Stegostoma tigrinum: one gene and its partner. The protein of the gene in region 1 interacts with the protein of each later gene in a pairwise test. Links are inferred from orthologs where the notes say so. Each region holds a gene or a part of one and is shown in the gene's direction. Other genes may lie near its edges.

Region 1 (7,008 bases):
CTGACTATCCCTAATCAATTTATTCTTTTCTAGATGATTATGAATCCTATCCCTTATAACCTTTTCCAACACTTTACCAACAACTGAGGTAAGGCTCACTGGTCTATAATTACCAGGGTTGTCTCTACCCTGCTTCTTGAACAGGGGAACCACATCTGGCATTATTCCTGTAGACAATGATGAGTTAAAGATCAATGCCAAAGGCTCGGCAATCTCCTCCCTGGCTTCCCAGAAGATCCTAAGATAAATCCCATCCGGCCCATTCAAGTGCTGATCAATCTGCAATACTATCTAGGTTGTTTCTGATATCTGACATTTCAGATAGCTTTTTGTTTGTAGTAGCTCTGTATCTATTGCACCTGAAAGCAAATTCCTAGTGCAATCTTTATTTTCTGTCATTTATTGCTCCAAAATCAGCCTTACTCCTATCTTGTGAACAGATGTTGATGATTTTCCTTCTGTCATTTCTATATGCTGCTACTACTATGTGAGAGTCATGAAACACAGTTAGGAAAACATAGACAAAATGCCAGACCATAAAGTAGCTGACCAAAATTGCTTCTGTTTCCCAATAGGAGGTAGAGAGCAAACATTATCTATCCATGTTTCTAAAAATTGATCAGATTATCTGTTTTCGCTTTTATCTGGATTGTGCTATCAGTATTTCCTTTCATCCTATTTTGTTTGTATCAATAGCTCTGATTCATACATGTGAAAATGTGCTTGCCAACGAGAATTCCCTGTCATAGTCCAGCATCACCAATGTTTGTTTAAATATTTTCTAATCAGCCTATACACCTCTGTAGAAGGTGGGACTTGAGCCTGGGCCTTCAGGCTCACAGGTGGGGACACTGCTGCTGCACCAAAAGAGACCCCTTCTACTCCCTGCCTCCCTCTCCCAATTTCAATTCATATCAACTTTAACTCTGATAGATGTTTCTCAATTTATTTTCAAACAATAACAGACATGATATCTAATCCTGGTCTAGCTTCATTCCATTTTCTTTCCAGAATTTTTCATTGATTGATGTTTCTTAATGTCTACCATCCAGTTAAAAAATGGTATTATTATGACTGAGTTATACATAAGCATATAGTTGATTAAACATTTCCAATCATGTGCATTCTTGCTTGTGGTAAATATACTGCTAATTATTGCATTTTATTTCAATCAGCTCATCAGCTCCAAAAGAAGGCTGTCAAGATGAAGATAACCCATATGACTATAGGAAATTGCTACGAAAAACGTCCCAAAGGAATCGTCTTATTGAGCAGTGTTAACTTTTAACCTTGCGGTTTTTTAAATTATGTACTGTTTACATACATTTCTGGAACTCTCCTATAAGCTCACTATTGTACATATGTTCATACTGTGCAGTAACAGCAATAACACTTGTGTTAGTAGGTTACTTGAGTGTAATCTAGGAGTAAAATGTTTTGTGTTGAATCATTATCTGAAACTTTCCTTTGAGCATATTTAATGTTCTTTGTGAAAACATAAAGCCAAATATTAATTTTTCCATATGGAGAAGTGAGTGAAATCAGTTGACTCATGTTATAGTAATTTAAATAGAAAAATGTTTCAAATGCTCAGGAAATAAACTAAATTGTAAAATTTTAACCCAAAATGCATCAATCTCATATTGTGCCTTACTAAATTAGAGCCTCTAATATAAAGTAAAATATTATGGAACCTGGAAATTAGAATTAAATCAGAAGAACACCCAGCATGTCAGGCGAAGAGAGAGACAGGATCTCTGTGCAGAACCCACCATCAAAGACAAATGCACTATCCAATCAACATTATCAGTTCATCCTGCTAATCTAGTAAATTTCCCTATGAAGCCAGTTAAGAAATTGCCTTTGAAAGCCCCATTATATTAAGAAAAGAGCTATTCAAAGAGCTAAAGTCTTTAGGTGGCCAGCAACCTGACTGGGCAAGATGAGAACTGTCACTCTCGGCTGTGAGCTGTGATGGTATCTCAAGATGGAGGTGCCTTCTGAGGAAACCAGTTCATATATAGCCAGGCTGTTGGACCATCTGTGGGAAGGTTAGAGGAAGTGGACAATTAGAAGTGGCTTCACCGGACTGTCTACTCCAATCTCCTTTAATCTCAGTGGGGGCTCATCGGCCATTAGTAAATTCTGGCAGTGCTACAAAATTGCCTGTAAGTCAACGCCTGGCTACTGCTGATCAGTTCTCTGTTTCTGCCAGGCAAATCATTGATGCTGGACACACCTCCCTGTGTACAGATTACTCAGACATGGGAATATATCAGGGAACCAATCGAACATGGAACTCTGGGCCCATTTTCACATTTTTCTTAAGTTTCTGCTCAACCATTCAGATTGATCACTTTCCTCAGATCTGTTCCAAATTTTCATCACCTTGAAAGGCAAATGGCCAAGTCATTGCCTTTTCTCAGCTATCTGAATGAGAGTGCAAAATGGAATAAAATGCAACAATCATATTTTAATTACTTTGAGAAGTTCATCAGTGTTTAATTTTCTGGGCTATTTCCTAACACTTTTGAATTTTAACTTCATGAATAGTTTTGACCAGTGATTTTTTTACACATTATTTGAAAAGGAAATTGGAAAAGAGAGGAGCCTGGGAGTAGGATAGTATGTGCATTGACTGCTGAATGGACACAGGCTAATGAAACTGAATGAGATCACAATTTGTGGTGATTTTCCTGATCTTGTCTTGATTACAGTGGAGAGTGGAAGAAGTGGAGAAGTTGACTGCCACCAACTTAATGGGCAGGGAGGAGTTGGTATTAACAGACCTGAAGACTCCATCCTGCCATTAAAAAAAGTGCAAGGGCAGGAAAACATTGTCCCCAATGAGTCATCTAGAGAAATTTACCCTGAATGCTCCTCTGATATTTCATTAATCTGTCCATAGTGAATTGCCCCCTGTCAGTGTAGTTTGTCAAGTTTTGAGCTGCCGGCTCTGGGTGCCTCCCACCATCGTCCATCAGAAAGTGTGTTCATTGGTGGCTGGTGAGGAGCTGGCCCCAGAAGAACAATTTAGTCCATCCCACTGCCAGCATTGGAAAGAAGGCCAGAAGTGTTCCTGTACTCCGCAACCCTCAGGGCTCAGAAGTCCCGAGTAAAACAGAGTCTTAAGGTCGATGAGCTTTCTCTGCATTTTCCTGTCATTTGCCACCTGTAAAATGCTTTGTGAATTCCAAGCGACTTCATTTGTGGTGTGTGCATGAAGGAATTTCGTGTTTTAAAAACATTCAAGTCACGAACTGCAGAGCTAACAATAGCATTTGAACGAGATGGGTACTCAAGAAGCCAGCTGTTTGTTCAATTTAAACATTTGCTTTAGCCTTTTTACACTGGTATATATAAACACTGGTTCTTCCCAAAATGCATCAATATTGCTTACGGTTGTACATGAAAACACTGCATAAATGTCTTGTGACTGTGCCGGCTCACCCAGCACAAGAAATTCGATTTGAAAAATGTTAAACTTGTTTTTAATCGGAGCAGGAATTTTTCGGTGCACCTGAATAGGAAATAAGTACGAAGTGTCGCACTACCGGCCCTTTTCCTTGAAAGGAAACGCAGATCGTAAAAATTGGTAAAGTCACGTATCTATTGTTATCTTTGTCTGATGCACAATGCCAGATCACGAACAGGGAGTTCACATTGAGATTTCCCATACAGGCTGTAATTACAATGACAAAGCATGTCGCCCACTTGCAGCAAGCGCCGTGTGGAAAGCGCTGCTTGTCACTGGAGGCTGGAGTGCATGGGGTCTTTGTCTGTAGCTGTCTACTCTCTCGCTCTCTCTCTCTCTGGCTGTGGCAGCTGTGACTGACGTGAGCTTGCACAGCAGGAGACAGAGGCGGGGAGGGAGGGAGTGAGGTCTCGCCACGCTGTGGGGTGGGGGGTGGGGGCGGAATGCCAGTGTTGTCATCCACGACGGACTCGTGACTCCTGCCCGCATCCCATGCTCCGGCGACCACGTCTCTTCATACTGACTGAAAGAGTGACTCATTCAGATCCACAGCCCACCCTTCCCCGGATTACGTCAAAACATTGAAAAGACCCCCTCCCCAACTCCTACCCCCTTCCACCAAAACCTTTCCAGAGAAAGAAAGTTTGTGTTTCAGCTCTGAATATATTTCTGAAGCAGTCTACCGTACCGTCCCGCCTTTCTCTACCTCTGCCCTTTTGCGCGCCAAAGTGACGCAGATGCCCAAAGCGCCAGATTTCGATGCAAAGTAGCTCAGATCGAGATTGATTAGCGCTTTGGGAAAGGAAAAGGAAACCCTGGAGCCTTTTCCCAAGGAATATCTGACGGAGTGTGAGCAAGTCTCAACCAGTGAGCTCCCTTCCTCCTCCTCCCCTTCCCCCCTCCCCCAGTCTTGTTAGCTGGTGGCTGGGAGAAGCAGCACTGTCCCGCGCTGTGTGACAAGCATCACCAGGGTGTAAGGCAGTTTCCTCCTTACAGGAGCTTGTAAGAGAGGGAGAGGTTCAGCACTACGTCCCGGACAGCTCCCTGCAAACAGGGGCTCGTGTGCAAGAGCGAGAGATTCAGCACCACATCCCGGACAGCTCCCTACAGACAGGTGCTGGTGTGAGCCGGACAGGTTCAGCGCTAGGTCTGGGACAACTCCGTTCCGACAGGTTCTGCACCAGGTCCAGGATTGCTCCCTCCTGCTTGGACGTGGCTTTGAGCTCCGGATGATAAGCGCTACCACGTCTCCAGCAGCTCCAACCTCTCGAATCAACCCAGCGTGGAAATGGCATCTCTCGGGTTCTTCTCGAACGAGTCGGCACAGCGAACCAGTGCCGGAGACAATTCGACTGCAGGTAAATGAAAGGCAACACGTGTAGGAAGATATTAAAAGAGGCGGGGAGGCAGAGAAGGGAGGGGAGGGGGATGAGTTCAAGGAATGGAAAACCTCAAAGCACCGATCGGTTTGAAAACTGTTGTCCCCTGGATGACAGGACAAAGTAGACATTCTCATGAGAACTGGATTTCGAAGTAATAAAATGCACGTTGAATTTTATTGAGCAGTTTTCTCTCAAATGGATTTGCTCTATGTTTACAGTTCAGTGACAGCAAACTTAATGGGTTTGGATTGTTTGGCGAATAAAGCTAGTTGTTTACTTTTTGGGTGAAATGACCCAAACGATACGAAAGAAATCGACAGAATCTAAAAGTAATAATTTACTTCTGCGATAGGAAGCTTATTTTGATTAAAACAGGTTTTGTTTTGATTTTGTATACATTTCTTCAAATTGGCATACTGGATATTTGTCACCTCCAGCTAAAACCTTCAAGGCAAAATTATCTCAGCTTTTATAAAAATGACAAATTTCAGAAGCTTTACTGAACTGTTGACAAATAATGTCTTAAAGAAGCTTGTCTATTGCAATCATACAAGTCCAGGGCTGTGTAGTAGAGGGAAACTGAACAAAATGATCTGATTTAGACACTCAGAACTTTAAAAACGTGTGGGAGACATTGCTTTGATTTATAGTTTTTATGTGACTATTTTTTGAAGGGTGCTACAGCTTTGGTCCATCATATGTGCACGTCTAACACCCTTAAACACCATTGATGTCGCCGTCTTATTGCACACTCCATGAATTCCCGCTGTTGTTCACAGACAGGTGTCAATACACGTTCTTTTTTTCCACAGGAATATCCACAACAATATTGTATCTTGTGTACAAGTTGCCCCATCACATTAGCTTTTCTATGACTGATTCAGACTAAACTGAAGTTACATATTTTCTTCTCGAAATTGAAGCAAAAGGTTGACTCAAAATTAAAAGTAGAACTTAATACAATTCTAATACTTTGTGTTTCACAGCCCCAGCCTGGTGTCAGATAGCTCAAAAGTTCACTGGCGGCATCGGAACAAAGCTCTGTGGTAAGCGTGGTTACATTTCTCATCGGTTTGCACGAAGTTAGGGTCAACTTTACCACATAAAAACGCGAATGTGGCAGAAATATTGAATCGTTAGAGTTGCGAGGGCTGCCAGTCTGATTGAGTGCTTATAACGTATGGTTGAAGTGGCCTAATGGACTGAGCTCTCCTGCCCTCTCCACCCACATATTTAACTACTCACTGATTTCAAAGTATCAGGCAATCTGTCCATTAGTTTCTCCTGGCTCAAAGCAAAGCTGTCAGTGCCAAAAATAAAAGATCAATCCGTGTATTTGAGAGTTATTTGTTTAACTTTGCCTTTAGATGTACACAGAGATTAATTTCTCATGTAGCTTCGATGTTGCATTGCCTTTTAAAGACAGAACGGACTCTGAGCACACTGATTACGGCGAATTGGTTGGTTTTACGTTACAGATGGTGAATCCAGGGAGCTGCTTCTTCATGAAATGACAAAAGACGTGATGAAACATAATATACCAAAAACTGGCTTCCGGGCAACAGAAAAGACACCTCCAAAACACAAAATATCATTTTCAATGCAAACATTCAAACCGACTGAGTAGTTGTGCAACAGAATTAACTTGATAATACTTGCAGATATCTGTCTTTATTCTTGAAAAGCATATTTTTAAATTTTCTATTAATTTCCAAAAGTTGTTGCTTGTGAAATGTTATGCACCATTCTATTAAGAACTGAACGCAATTCAAAGGAATCATTGTCAAAGTTTAATGTCCAAAACTAAACAAAAAGAAATCAAGAACTTCAAAATGTTTGAGCCCTGTATTTATATTTAGCTTCTTTCGATCATAAAGCAGAGGTGGAAAATTTGCTGTACTGCAGCAATTATCTAATTTTATAGAAGGAATTATAATGCATCACTGTACTAAATACTACACGTAAATTTGTCATCAGCCACCTCATGTTTACAGAATTGTAGAAGTGATCTGGTGCAAAAGGAGGCTATTTAACCCATCATGTACATGCTGGCTTTTTAACTGAGCATCATTATCTAATGCCAACCTCCTGCTTTTTCCCTGTGTCCTTGTATATTATTTCTACCTAAACAGTTGTCCAATGCTTTCTTAA
Region 2 (7,979 bases), on another chromosome or scaffold:
AACTGCTGCAGTCCTTGGGTGTAGGGACATTTTCAGCACTGTTAGAGAGGAAGTTTCAGGATTTTGACCCGGTGACACTGAAGGAACAGCAATATATTTCCAAGTCAGGACAGTGTGCAGCTTCAACTTGGAGGGAAAGTTGCAGGTGGTAGTGTTCCAGCATATCTCCTGCCCTTGTCTCTCAAGTGCTGGGTTTGGAAGCTGCTGTTGAAGGAACTTTAGTTAGTTATAGCAAGTTTTGAGAAGATTTGTAGCTCAGGTTGAGGTTCTGGATGTAAGTTTGCTCGCTGAGCTGGAAGGTTCGTTTTCAGACCTTTCATTACCATCATCAGTGGGCCACCCAGTGGGTGAAGCGCTGGTGTTATGTCCCGCTTTCTATTTATCTGTTTAGGTTTCCTTGGGTTGGTGATGTCATTTCCTGTGTTGATGGTGTCATTTCCTGTTGTTTTTCTCAGAGGGTGGTAGATGGGCTCCAAATCAATGTGTTTGTTGATGGAGTTCCGGTTGGAATGCTATGCTTCTAGGAATTCTTGTGCGTGTCTCTGTTTGGCTTGTCCTAGGATGGATGTGTTGTCCCCATCAAAGTGGTGTCCTTCCTCATCTGCATGTAAGGATACTAGTGATAGTGGGTCATGTCTTTTTGTGGCTAGTTGATGTTCATGCATCCTGGTGGCTCGCTTTCTGCCTGTTTGTCCAATGTAGTGTTTGTCACAGTTCTTGCAAGGTATTTTGTAAATGACGTTCATTTTGCTTGTTGTCTGAGTTATTAGTGAGTTATTTTAAGGAAAAATACATAATGTAATCAATGAAAATTCACTGTCACAGAAACCAAATTCTTTTTGATATTACAAACGACACCCAATGCTACCACGACAAAGGTCCTTGTTTTTCTCTAGCCATCTGCAGCTTTGACGTGGTCGATTACACTACTTTCCCCCACTGTTGTCCAGCTGAGGGAGGCTGGACAACAGTCAAGATCTGTTCTTACCTATCCAATCATAACCAGAAATTCACCTGGAATAGTTTCTCCACCTGTTTCTTCCTCATCACATTTTGTGACTCTGAAAAATCTATGCTTGGTCCCCTGTCATTTCTCATTGATATGCAGTCCTTCAGTAAACAAGGGTCTACTTCCGTGTGCATGCCAATATCACTTGACCCAGCCTCATCATCCCTTCACTGTTTCTGAATGGTTGGGCTATCTGTCCTATATTCAGTATTGGATGGCAGACATCTCCTCCCAACAAAATACTGGTAAGAACACACCTATTATTGTCAGTGCCTGTAACAAACTTCCTCACAAGAGATTCTATCGCTCTATATAATTGTCTGAGGTAGAATATTCAATCACAAAACTGATGTGTTGTGATTTCTGGCCACATTCCACACCATCAATAAGACCACCACATACATCTCCACACTGTCACCCTAAGTCCACCCTACCTCAACCTATCCGCTGCTGAAACTCTCATCCATGTCTTTGTTTCCACTATACTTAAGTAATTCCAACAAGCTCCAGGTCAACCCCTCCATGTTCTATTCTCCATAAACTTGAGATCATCCAAAACTCTGCTGTTCATTTCCTGATGCATCAAGTCCTGTTCACCGATCACCATTGAGCTCCCTAATCTACAACGCCTACTGTCCAGCAATGCCTTGAATTCACAATTTTCAATTTCACAAATCCTTCTAAACCTTGGTCCACCATAATCTCTTCCAGCACTACAACCCTCCCAAGATATATCTGTACTCCAATTCTGGGCCTTTATTCAATCCCTATTTTCAGTTGGAGAGGGGAAGTTGTGGACCTGAAAAGTTTAAGTTCTGAAAACAATCATTCTGGAAATTAGATAAAATCAGAACAAAGATTATTAGTTTTCACTTAGGCTACAGCAATAATTCAAAATTCATGTACTGAATGAGAAATACACAATTACTTCACTTCATTCAACTTCCAGTCTTTAACTTTTTCTTATGTTTCCCACTTTTTTCCTCTCCCTTGTCTCTCTCTTTATTTTCTAGTTTTCTCTGCTTCATAGAAACAAAGGCAGGATCCCCTTTACTTTGGCATTTATCCAATCAATCCCTTCCCCATCTCAGTTACCTTCAGTCCTATGTGAGGGCCCACTTTCCTGACACATAATGGTATGGTATCACACATTACATAATGTTGTCACATCAACTGTGTATGACTGTCTTTTACCTCAAAGCTACAAGATACTATTTCTTAGAGGGACCTTGACATTGCAATCATGAGTTTTTACATACACAAGCAATTCTTACAGCCAGCCTCAAGGTCTTGGCTTTTTACTGCTAGTTAGACCATTTTATAAAACATGACACAATTTTCCTAGTAGTTAGCCCATTTTATAAAACATGACATAATTTTCCTTGAGTCCAACTACACTGGCACCTTTCCCATACTATGCTTTATTTGTAAGCATCCACACTTTTCAACACTGCTTAGACAAATTTGCAATAAAATCAATTTCAACAGTTAGAATTCTGGTTATGAGTCTAATACTCTTATAAATCCCCGCACTGTGATTTTAGCTACTGAGAATGCTGCAGTTATTTAGCAGAAATGCTGCATGCCAGTTTCCTCAAGCCACTTTTTAAAAATTCATTACTGGGATGGCAGCATCGCTGGCTAGGCAGTATTTATTGCCTATCCCTAATTACCCAGAGGGCAGTTCAGACTCAACCACATGGCTGTGGGTCAGGAGTCACATGTAGGCCAGATGAGGTGAGGATGGCAGTTTCCTTCCCTTTCCATTAGTGAACTGTTATATTTTAAGCTGTCATTTGACATGGTGCTGGTCTGTGTGGTGTTAAGCCCCATTGCACACTTTGTGCATTGGTGAACCCAAAATCAAACTACAGCAACACGAATTACACCTGTATTATACATATCTTTCAAATGGATATTTGGTTGTGCACAACAGCCATAATTTAATTATTTGCAATAAAATCATTATGATCTGCAGTATACAATTTACAACCCACAGGCTAAGGTCCATGCAACACATGAGTGAGATAAAAAATGTGCATGCTCTAACCATGTTTACAGTGAAACATACTGATATTAATTAGGTTGTGGTAAAAACTGTACCTAACAGTTCATAATATTCCTTTGTAGTATTGTTTCATTGCAATTGAAGGCAATGGAGTACTAATTACATTTGTTGTGGGTTGTGAGTTTAGAATGCTTTCTCTTTGATAGTTCTCTCTCTTTTCATTGGAGTCATTCTTCATTAAAACACATGCTCAAGTTGTTTTTGCAAGAGTATAGTAAATGTCTTTCACTGGACTCAGGCAGAATGAATCCTAGCTCCAAAGAATTTCTAAGTATATAATCACATATTTGATTATGATTCAATAATTTTAGAAATTATTTAGTTTATTGATTCCAAACAGTAGTATTAAGTGTTTTCAAATCAGCTTTCTTTTCCCCTGACGCAACAAAAAAAATCCACAAATTCAATTCGAAAAACTTGCAATAATATAGCATCTTGCACAATCCTAGGATGCAGTAAGTGTTTTACCGCCAATTAAGTACTTTTGAAGTTAGTCAATACAGCAACATGGGGAAACATGGCAGCTGATTTGTGCACAGAAATATTCCACTAATAGCAAGGAAAAAAAGTACAATTATTAATTTCAGATGCTGGTGGAGGAATATATATTGGCTAGGACACTATTATGATCTTGTCTTTTCCCTGAGAAATCTAAAGTCCACCTGAGATGGACAGAGGGTGCCTCAGTATTTTTCAAAAGATAGAATCTTCAATTGCACAACATACTCTCAGTAGTACATTGATGTGTCAGCATAGATTAGTCTTTCAAGTGTTTTGAGTTGAATTTGAACCTTTTGCCTCAGAGAAGAGAATACCACCACCAAGTCAGTTTTGCCTAATAGTGAAACAGACCCAATTTGCTGTAGTAATATTCTTATTCGGTTTAAAGCACTTCTGATTATTTCTGAACAGAGAGGTTAAGTGTGGTGGGAGTACATGAAAATTGAGAAAATGCAATTTCAATCTCCAATCAAGTAGATAAAATGCAACATGACAATTGTGGATCTTTCCTCCCGTTCTGTTGCTGTTAGGGACAGGTGTACATGGCTCCATAAGGGATGTGTTAGTAGGTGCCCGATATGTAGCACAGGTCAGCTGCATTGCAGCAATGTCTGTCATGCGGTGACTAAAGATGCAAAGTAATGACTCATGGTAATTCCAATATCTAATAGGGCTATAGATAACCAAGCATGGAGCTGGAGGAACACAGCAGGCTAGGCAGCATCAGAGGAGCAGGAAAACTGACGTTTCGGGTTGGCACCCTTCTTCAGAAGGGTCCCGAACCAAAATGTCAGCTTTCCTGTTCCTCCAGCTCCACACTTTGTTATCTCTGACTCCAACATCTGCAGTTCTTGCTATCTAATAGGGCTATGTTTCTTTTAGTTTCAGGCCAAGAAAGAACAAGAGAACAGTGCCCATTATTCAAAGGGGGTGGCGAGAGAGCAATCTCTGGAACAAGGAACTATTTTTTCACAATTGACTCCCAGAAAACAAACTTTTAAAAGTTGTACAGCTTTAATCAAAGAAAAACAGTGGCAGTACTTGTCTAAGTGTCTGGATTGCAAACTTTTATTTTACTTGAAGTAATTTACTATGTGTGAAGTGCTTCAAAACGTATCTTGATAAATGTGATAAGATGTTGTATAAATGCAAATTTTTCAAAGACTTTGTCTTTATACGTTAGTTTCAATCATCTTCCATTGGGGACAGATTTTATGAGGCTGTAATCAAATATTTTCCATCGGCACAGGATCATGAACATGTAACAAAACGATTAGGCCTGGGGTAATTTCAGATGGTGCACTTTTGCTGCCAGCTTAAGACCAATCCTGTGGTGCAGGTTCTTGTTACCTCTGTGTGGATCACTGGATTCGGTGTCTGTTGCCAAGTTCACCTTGGGGCCACATGGCAGCCGACAGACAATGTTGCCGTCTCCCTCAGTGTTTGGAGGTAATGCGAAGTAGAAATCCATAAGTGAGAGGAAATTGGAAATAAATAGAAATTAATTCGCAAATGGAATGAAAATAGGGGAAATGGGTGAGAATTCTAATGTACAAAGAGAAAATTGGGAGAAATGGGAGCGACAGTGCGAGGAAGTTAAACCAAATGGGAGTAGAATTCTCAAATGGGTGGTAGGGGGAGAATGAGTGAGAGGAAAATGAGGGGAGAATGAAGAAAATGAGAATTCCCTAAGCAAATAATGCCTTGAGCCGCAGTGTCATCAGAGAAAAAGTGTCTCCTCCATTTTAAAGAAGGACACAGCACATCAAGGATCAAACAGAATGGAAAATATATTAACAATATTTCTGACATTACCCTGCTGTACTGCGAGCTCTCTTAAACAGCAGAACACATTCGTCCGGCCCTCGGAATCCGGAACATCGACACCTCAGCTTCCGGGGCTCGGGATGCATTTTTATTTTTGGTTTCTCCGTCGGTTTGTGTCAAAGTGAAATACGCGGAGGGGACTCAGAGCGGACTGTTCCTCCCCCCACAGACCACAGCTCGAGGCGGCCGGGAGGTGGGGATGGGGAATAGCTAGGCCTCAGCGACCCCGAAGGAGGAAGAAGGTGGGTTAAATGTCGACGTTATGAGGCCAAGGATCTGAGTGACTCCTTCGGGCTTCAGCGCTGTCTGTTCCCGGCACCGACCACCGCCATCGTCCGGTCCCGGAGCCGGTTGCTAAGGGAGGAAGGGGTTTACCTCCCGTTGCTAAGCGAGGCCCCTTCCTCCCGTTGCTACGCGCCCCTCCTCCAGTTGCTATGCGGGGCCCCGGCGTGGAGGATGCATCCAGCTCCCGAGGAGATGTCTTGGTCTCGGGGAGATTGATGACAAATTGTCCGGGGATCCAGGGATTTCCTGTTTAAAATCTGCAGCGGACCAATGGGAGTTGACGGAAACAACAAGGCCTTGGAGTTTAGAAGAGTCAAAGATGATTTCTAAGATGTAAGATCCTGAGAGAACTTGACCTGGTGGACGATTTCTTCTTGTGGGAGAATCTAGAACTAGGGGTCACGGTTTAAAAATAACAGATCACTCATTTAAAATGGACGGGGTTGGGGGGGGGGGGGGGTTGGTGGAGGTGAAATGAGTGAGAGTCTCTGAAATTACTTTTATCCAAAAGGAGTTTCTGATGAAGGGTCTAGGCCCGAAACGTCTGCTTTTGTGCTCCTGAGATGCTGCTTGGCCTGCTGTGTTCATCCAGCCTCACGTTTTGTTATCCCAGAATCTTTACATGTTGTTTGAGGAGGCGGTAGCTGGATACTTGATGACCAAGGGAATGAAAGATTATCGGGGTCTGCAAGAATCTGGAGTTGAGGTTAAAATCAGATCAGCCTTAATCTTATGGAATGGTGGAGCAGGCTGAAAGGGCCAAGTTAATGGTAGGGCCTGGAGAGTGTTGTCGAACACTGGAAAGGCTTACAGGTTCAAGTACATAGCTCCTTGAAAGGGGTGTGACATTTAGACAGGTTGGTGAAGAAGTTATTTGGGACGCTTGCCTTCATTGGTCAGAGTATTGAGTATAGAAATTGGGACATCATGTTATGGTTGTACAGGACATTGGTGAGGCCACTTTTGGAGTACTACGTACGATTCTGGTAGCCCTGCTAATAAGAAGGATATTATTACATTGGAAAAGGATACAAAAACAAACTTACAAGTATGTTACTAAGACTGGAGGATTTGAGTTATAAGGATAGGTTGAATAAGCTGGGACTTTCACATTGGATCATAGGAAGCTAAGGAGTGACCATATAGAGGTTTATAAAATCATGAGGGTCATAGATAAGGTGAATAGCAAAGGTCTTTTCTTTATGGTAGGGGTGTTCAAAACTAGAAGGCATATTTTTAAGATAGCAAGAACTGCAGACACTGGAATCAGAGATAAAACAGCGTAGAGCTGGAGGAACGCAGCAGGCCAGGCAGCATGAGAGGAACAGGAAAGCTGGCATTTCAGGTTGGGACCCTTCGGTGAGAGAGGAATTATTTAAAAGGACCTGAAAGGCAATTTTTTCACACAGTGGGAATGATCTGCCAGAGGAAGAGGTAGATTCAGGTACAGTTACAACATTTAAAAGACATTTGGACGGGCACATGAATAAGAAGGGTTTAGAGGATTGTGAGCCAAATGCAGGCAAATTTGAGTAGTTTAGTTTGGGAGAGCTAGTTGGCGTGGACCAGCTGGACCGAAGGGTCTGTTTCGATGCTGCATGATACTATGACTCGATAAATAGCCTACTTTTATTCCTTATTGGTACATATGCATTCTGGTACCCTCTGGTTGGGGTGGATATGCGCACAAACCAATTTGTTTCCTTTTCCTGGACAATCTTGCAGTATTGGAACAGGATGTGTAAGGAAATATTCAGATTTCCTCACTTGAAATCTTTAAGACCCATTTTAGATGTTATTTCCATTTAAAAGTTTCTCATTAATATTGCCACTGTATCAGCAGGGCATGTTCAAGCTCTCCCTCATGATTATAAATAGTTTTCACAAATCTCTGCCCTCACCCTCCCCAACATCCCACACACATATATCATCTCTGCTGTACTGAAATAGAAAATCTTATCACATACAAAGGCAGAACCAGGGCAGGCTAAATAATTAAGCCTTTCTGACAGCTAATTCGAAACAATGACTTGAGTTCGGTAATTTTCCAGATTTTATAGTAATGCATAGCAACCAGTATTGCTCACAGGAAGTAGTTGGTATCTGTTGAAAATATATTACAAGAAATCAGGATTTTTTTGTAAAGTTCACATTTCAGGTCAGAAAATTGGAACAATTGCAGTCTTAAGGTGAAAAAGATGTCATACCTTTGCATGCTGGGGGTGCACATGAGCTGGAATGGTTATGGACTGCATATGTAAGATTTAGTGTTTACTTCCCCTTACCCTT

The links. The genes of interacting proteins can lie anywhere in the genome.
Region 2: the proteins of gad2 (region 1) and lipid droplet assembly factor 1-like interact in binary tests that used the Homo sapiens proteins (3 or more experiments, as listed by UniProt). The two-hybrid records come from large-scale screens. The link is inferred for Stegostoma tigrinum from reciprocal best matches to the Homo sapiens genes GAD2 and LDAF1.

Annotation. Positions count from the first base shown.
Region 1 is NC_081355.1:122,691,373-122,698,380, forward strand, and holds the start of gad2 (glutamate decarboxylase 2), read left to right. Parts: upstream 1-3,935; 5' UTR 3,936-4,763; coding exon 4,764-4,833; intron 4,834-5,843; coding exon 5,844-5,903; intron 5,904-7,008. Other genes in the region: myo3a (myosin-IIIa), read left to right, coding at 1,176-1,281. UniProt on the Homo sapiens protein: Catalyzes the production of GABA.
Region 2 is NC_081376.1:49,103,002-49,110,980, reverse strand, and holds the start of lipid droplet assembly factor 1-like, read left to right. Parts: upstream 1-4,904; 5' UTR 4,905-5,027; intron 5,028-5,316; exon of another isoform or gene 5,317-6,118; intron 6,119-7,979. UniProt on the Homo sapiens protein: Plays an important role in the formation of lipid droplets (LD) which are storage organelles at the center of lipid and energy homeostasis. In association with BSCL2/seipin, defines the sites of LD formation in the endoplasmic reticulum.